Danio rerio: one gene and its partner. The protein of the gene in region 1 purifies or fractionates together with the protein of each later gene. This does not show direct contact. Links are inferred from orthologs where the notes say so. Each region holds a gene or a part of one and is shown on either strand. Other genes may lie near its edges.

Region 1 (4,282 bases):
AACAAAATTTATATATAGCATTTAAGACAATGAGAGAATAATAATTATCCTTTTATCTTTTTTATAATGCTTGAAGCCCTTTCTCTATTTCTCTAATTATTCCAAATGACAACATGGTGGCGCAGTTGGTAGCGATGTCGCCTCACAGCAAGAAGGTCGCTGGTTTGAGCCTTGGCAGTTGGCATTTCTGTGTGGAGTTTGCATGCTCTCCCTGTGTGTGCATGGGTTTCCTCCGGGTGCTCTGGGTTCCCCCACAAGTCCAAAGACATGGGTGAATTGGGTAAGCTACACTGTCCGTAGTGTATGTTCTGGTCCTCCTCGGGGGTTGAGCTTTGGGCTAATGACCCACCTCGATCAAAAATTAGATGTTATGAAACACCAACATGGTGCGGCTAAATATCAACTTCGATATGAACTGCTCTGGGAGTAAGTAATTATTCTAAAAATGATGAAGTTAAAAAATGGTGATTGTATCAGTTGCACAAGGTTATCATCCTTTTGTTGTGTGTCAGTTAACTGAAAAGTGTACTGCCATTACCAAGCATTGGACAGATGATGCATGTTCAGTACTTTGATTTGTAAATGCAAATTTTTTATAGCAAAAACAAAGCAACTATCTTCTTCCAAAGGCCCATGGTTACAACTTTTTAAATTAATCTTTGAGAAACACAAAAATCCTTTCTGAAAAAAGTGTTGCATGCAGAACTGTTGCAAACAATGTATTTGTGTTGAATTTAAACATTCAAATTAAGCTTAATGACGTTCAACTTAATTTGTTTGTATATATACACCATTTCTTAAAAAAATGTTTTGTGTAACAAAAAAAATCCTACAAATTATTTACTAATGTTCCTGAATTGTTTGTCAGATAAAGTCTTAAACCTAAAGTGTCTCTTTTAGACACAGGATTTTTTGTTTAAAATACCTGTATACTGTATGTTATGTTTACATATTTCTTATGAGGATTCCAGGACAGAAAAGCGTGACTATCTGAATTGTCTGAAAGTTCCTGCCAGTCACCTCAGGAATTGAAACAAAGAAACAACTGAGACTGCTACACTGTATCAACATTTAAGGACTTGTGTAAGTGCATCCTTTTTTATCCCAGAACTATGAAAAAGATAATACTAGATACTTTTTATTTTTATTAGCGCTTCATAAAATGACAAAGTTTGACAATTAAGGTCACATCTGGTGGCAGTCTTACTTTATCATAAATAATAAAAACATCTTTTTCAGAAGGATAAACTGTACAAGTTTCTTATCGTAACCACATCACACAGCTTCATTCCTCTCTCCACCAATGTGAAACAGACACTGCCGCGCATGCGCAAACTAAATCAAAATAATGATGCCGTGGCTACTCTCCGTTGAGCAGTGCTTGACGGGCGGGGCTTAGAGAAATATCAGCCAATCAAAGCGACCCACGACCAGTGAGCATGATGTCCGCTGGCCTGACAGATATGCGAATGCCCAGCGTGTCTTCGCCAACTTTATGTATTAAATCAGTGATTTGACGTTGGGAAGAAAAAGAAAACATGGTTGCCGTAAGCCCAGTGGCGCACAAATTGCTAAGCTACGTTCCTTTCCTGCTAGTTTTGATCGATCTTCGATATGAAGGTAAGTGATCAGTCCTTGTGCTGGTTAATTATAAGAAATTATTTTAACCATGTTTGTTGTAAACTGATAATTCGTCTTCGTAACATCTGTTTGAGGAAGTGCCTTTGTTTTTCTCATTATTAAAATCAAAACAAAGTGAAAACAACCCAAGCTGAATGTCCACATATGATACTCATAAAGTGCATATGGTGAACTGTCACAGTAGTCAGTATGATGACACTGTGTTTCACTGAGGTTTCCACTGCTGTACTTCACTAAAGTCGTTTCAAACGTAGTTTATCTGACTATACTCAGTGAATACATGTACAAAAAAAGATTTGAGTTGAGGCATTATGCCAACCATGATAACTACAGTCTATTTGAATGTGCACTACTCTACTACAGGTATGTTTACTACTGAACGGTACAGGTAACTTAGTGCGTGTACAGTATACGTCGTTATACTCTGTGGTTTATTCTAGGCTTCAGATTATTTATTTGTTATGTATTGTATGTGTCGCAGGAGTCAATGGAGGGAAGGATGGTGGCGTTGAGAATCATCTGGAGATGGGGAAGAAGCTTCTGGCTGCAGGACAGCTGGCTGATGCTCTCTCTCACTTTCACGCTGCTGTTGGTCAGTCTTCTTAATTTAGTTTTAGTTTCTTAATTTAATTTCTAATTTTTAATTAGAAAATGTACCTCTTAAAGCAATAGTTCACCCTAAAATGCTCACTGTTGAGTCATAAGGGATGTATATGCTGTTGTTCTTTCAGACAAACTCAATCTTAGTGGTTAAAAACAATTTATTTTTCTTCTGTCAGCTTTGTAAGTGTAGTGAATATTGTGTTTTTGATCAAATTACAAATTCATTGAGTTTTGACATATTCATATTAAAAAATGTATAAAGTATTATCACTGGTTTCTGGCAAGCCCAGAAATATAAGGTGTACTCTGTCTTTCTGTATACATATATTTATCTAATAGTAATTATCTATGTATAATATCTATCTATCTATCTTTCTAATTTTCAGATGGAGAACCCAAAAATTACATGGCATTTTATAGGAGAGCAACTGTATACCTAGCCATGGGAAAGTCAAAATCTGCACTACCAGACCTCAGCAAAGTCATCGAACTTAAACCGGACTTCACGTCGGTGAGTTTTCAGATTCATTGCACACATTAAAGTGGCCCTGTAATGCTTGGGTACCCTGGTTTTGTTTTTGAGGTCTCCTGCAATATGTTTTCATTCAGCCGAGGCTGTCTATTAGGTTAATAATTTAACAAGGTCTTGTAACAATAAATGCACCAAAATGAACAAAATACCCATCAAATTTAAGATAAGAGGGTATTACATTTTGTGCAGAATTAAACTAAATCTTAGCCTGCCTCCTTTATTATTTTTATATGTAATATTTTTATATCAATTTTTTTTTTCAGAATTTCAACATATTTTCACATGGTTTCATCCAAAAATGAACATTGTTTGTTTTCAATACTCAGGCAAGGCTTCAGAGAGGAAACCTACTGCTGAAACACGGTAAACTTGATGAAGCTGAAAGTGATTTCAAAAAAGTGGTGAGTAACATTAGGTTCGTAATCAGGGATGCACCAATCAGATACTTCTAGACAATTCTTAGTCTGTACTATAAATGACTTCTTACAATAATCCACACAATTTCCAGATGTCATATATTATTTAAATTATTTAAATATTAAATTGTGACAGATATGTTGTAGGTTTCATTCAAATGTATATAATTTTTGTACTCTTTACAGTGCGTTGCATTTTGTATTATATCGTTAAATAATTCTGAAACTGTTATGAAAGTGAGGCAGAAATATTGCAAATAAGATCAGTGCTGGTTGAACACAGTGTTTAAATATTCAGGTTTTATGTATTAAACTAAAACTGTTTGATCAGTGTATGCCTATTTAGCATGGAAAGAAGTTTTGAGATCATTGTTCAAAATCTGCCAAATTACAGTGCTTTCTACATGTCACAATTTCAAGTGTATCACCTATAATAAAACATGATTTAATTTAATCTTCCTTCGGCAGAGGTGGTCAGTGGGGTAAATTACAAGTCTAATATAATAAAACTATTGTGCTGTTCTGAAACATATTATCCATATATTCTCTTAAGGATAACGCTGTGTCTTTTTGTCATCAGCTCAAATCAAACCCAAGCAGCAGGGAAGAGCAGGAAGCACAGAGTCAGCTGAAGAAGTCTGATGAAATTCAGAGACTGGTGTCGCAGGCACAGAGTGATTTCAAACACCGAGAATATAGCTCTGCCGCATCACACCTCGACATCATCATTGATGTGAGTTCACCTCTATCAGGGTTTTCTCAGTAACTAAAACCATAAAAATGCATTACTTTTAATTAAGTAAACGCTAACTGAAATAATATATTAAAATACAATTATGGACCAAAGCAACTGTATTTAAAAAAAAATATATTTTAACTTGAAGTACTAAAATACGACTGTTTTTATGTTTAAAACAGATTTGTTTTAAATATACATAAAAGACATTACTTTTGATGTTTTATATATAAGTTTTTAATGTTTTTTTATCATATTTTTTATTTGTTATTAATTAGTATAATGATTCATTAGAATATGTATAAAATATTATAGTATTTATATCAAAGTATTTTAATAGAATAGAAAATTTAA
Region 2 (2,997 bases), about 3.2 Mb from region 1:
TAAAGCTATGGAACCACTTGAGGGTGACAATCATTTTCGTATTGTAAATAAAATTTTTAAAAGCATATATTTAGGGTGCATTTTGTATATTTTCCGACAGGTTTCTGATAGTCCTGAAACCCAAAAGGTGTATTAAACAATACATTTTGTCATCTTAAAGGTTGATCTGCTTGAAATGTTAACTAGTGTTTGTATCTTCATTCTTGTATCATTCTTGTATCATTTGCTGCCCTCTGCTGGACATGTCAGTTACTGCTTGCCTAACTAGCTAATAATTGACATTGTTGACTATTATAAACATTCATTTCCTTAGTAACTTATTTAACAGGGGTCGCCACAGCAGAATTAACCACCAACTATTCCAGCATATCTTACGCAGCAAATGTCCTTCCAATACTGCAATGCATTCACACACACATACACTATGGCCAATTTTTTTTTTGTCTACCCAATTCAGTCTTTGGACTGTGGGGGAAAGCAGAGCACCCGGTGGAAACCCACGCCAACACAAGGAAAACATGCAAACTCCACACACAAATGCCAACTGACCCAGCCAGGACTCGAACCAGCAACCTTCTTGCTGTGAGGCCACAGTGCTAACCACTGAGCCACCATGCCACCCACTATCATATAACAAAAAGTGTAGTTCAAAACGTCAAACCCATTTTTCAAAAACATTTGTACAAACACAAAATACTCTTGTCTCTTATAAAGTCAGTTTTTAACCATAATTATAAACTTTTAATTCTCTTTTGAATATGGCAGATGATATTTCCTTCACTAGTGCACAAGTTATCCTAAGTTGTTCTGATTTGTCTGGTGCAGTCCACAAAGAGCAAAGGAAAATGACTAACTAGAAACAGACCTAATGGACCGAACATCAGGAGGGGCTGTTAAAGAAACATGAAAGTGAATCCGTCACATAAAAAAATGATAAAAAATAAATCACAGGAAAGAGTTGAACTGTACAGTTAAAGAGGTCTTCTGTTGGAACTTCAAAAACCAAATAAGTGCCTTAGAGGAAACTGAATCTGTATCCAGGCGGCAAATCTGAACCAGGCAGTAGTGGAGCAATACACACAAACAAACAAACAGGATTTGCAGCTTGGTGAGGACAAAAACACCAGCTGCAACAACCGTAATAAATTTGTTCCTTAAAACAAGTGGACCAAAGACTGAAGAGTCTAAATTGAGAACGTTCAGTGAACTTCCGTTCAAATAATTGTTTCTTTTTTTAAAAGACTTGGAGAGTAAGTTCTTGAGTTGCAGGTATTTAAATTGTCCTCTGGTTTGAAGTTTCAGTCCTCTTTCTTTCTTTCTGTTGTTGCTGCTGCAGGTCTCAAATCAACTGGCACTAAACATTATGCTGATCCATGAGTGGATGGTGGTTGACTGGTCAGAACAGAAAAGTAGCATTCAAACATTCAACTGATGAAAAAGGTTTTAAACTACTTACTGAAACTGTGGACCATATAAAGAGAAAGTTATCATTTTGGGGGGGTCAAATAAAACTACTTTTTATGACAAAACAAGGCATTTAAAAACTTAAATCAGGAAAAAGAAATCATAAAAAAAAATAAAAACTTTAACGTCAACCCTTCCTGAGAACAATATGAAAAATAAATACACCCCATTGCTTGTTCCTCTGTGTGCATTTGAATTTGTGTGTGTGTGTGTGTGTGTGTGTGTGTGTGTGTGTGTGTGTGTGTGTGTGTGTGTGTGTGTGTGTGTAGGGCAGAAAGGTTCACGCATTCAGTCCTGATTTACTTGGCTAGTCTGTCAGTATCCCTGTAGTCCGTTATAAACCTTTTGAGATGGTGCCTGTTTCAAAAGCTGTTTTATACCTGGAGAAAAATGGAAAGAAAGAATTTATTAACTCAGAAATAGCAGAATATTTTTTAAACACCTCATATGTAATTTTTAAGACTACAGTCTCTCTATATAAAATAATAGACCAAAAGTCAACTGTTCTCTTACCATCTTTCTGCTGGTCATCAAGTTGCTCCTTGGGAAAATCTACATCAAAGGTGATTATGAGCGATCCACGAATATTGTTGTTGTCAAAACTTGGTAGGCCCTCACCCTTCTTCCAAATACGAGATCCTGGTTTAGTGATTTTATCTCTGACAATATGCACCTGCAAGAACACAAGAAGAGTTTGTGAGGAGTCTTATTTGAGACATAGGAGATGCAGAATTGGATGTGATTGTTATCAACCAAAACATCTGTACAAAGTTTACATACATTAAATGAAAAATACAGAGCATAATATAGTTCTATAAAAAATATCATTACAAACATTATTGCAAATTTAACAGGACTATTTTCTACTGTGTTTTTTATGTAGAGACTGCTGTGTCACATGATGATTCCTCCAGAAATTAACATTTCAAGATTTACATTATTTTCAACATATGATCAGAGTTGTTCAGCTTCATATTTGAGTAAAACCACATTCACTACATTTAAATGTTTGGGGCAAGTAAGACCGCTCTCTTTTTTGTTTAAATGAACATTTATTCAACAAGGATGCATTACACTAATAAAAAAAGACAGTAGAATGAATAATGTTAACAAGATAATGTTAAATATTTATATTCCAAATAAATTATGTTCTTAAAGCTTTTGTAGACAAAAAAATAATAAAATAATTATTATTGTTTAAAGAAATAAATAATATTTTATTATAATCATTTCTGAAGGACCATTTGACATTGAATACTTAAATAATGGTTGCTGAAAATTCAACACTGTAATCACAGGAATAAATGACATTTTAAAATAGATATTTAATGACATTCATATTAAATTTATTTCTTTATATCAACAGGATTGGCTATAAGCCCACCAAGTATTCAATATATAATTTACAAATATATAATTTACAATTATAAGCAATTTATAATCATTGACTGTTAATCATGCATTGTACAAATAAACATACAAGTATACAACATACAAATGACTTTATCAAGATACATTTTCAAAAATTTCTCA

Evidence for each region.
Region 2: the proteins of dnajc3a (region 1) and dnajb11 purify together in Homo sapiens (affinity purification with mass spectrometry; 3 studies listed by BioGRID and IntAct, with this or other methods). This does not show direct contact. The link is inferred for Danio rerio from reciprocal best matches to the Homo sapiens genes DNAJC3 and DNAJB11.

The regions. Positions count from the first base shown.
Region 1 is NC_133184.1:31,168,124-31,172,405, reverse strand, and holds the start of dnajc3a (dnaJ homolog subfamily C precursor), read left to right. Parts: upstream 1-1,444; 5' UTR 1,445-1,538; coding exon 1,539-1,620; intron 1,621-2,122; coding exon 2,123-2,233; intron 2,234-2,630; coding exon 2,631-2,755; intron 2,756-3,102; coding exon 3,103-3,177; intron 3,178-3,772; coding exon 3,773-3,925; intron 3,926-4,282. UniProt on the Homo sapiens protein: Involved in the unfolded protein response (UPR) during endoplasmic reticulum (ER) stress.
Region 2 is NC_133184.1:34,325,122-34,328,118, forward strand, and holds the end of dnajb11 (dnaJ homolog subfamily B member 11), read right to left. Parts: intron 2,138-2,997; coding exon 1,978-2,137; intron 1,845-1,977; coding exon 1,780-1,844; 3' UTR 715-1,779; downstream 1-714. UniProt on the Homo sapiens protein: As a co-chaperone for HSPA5 it is required for proper folding, trafficking or degradation of proteins.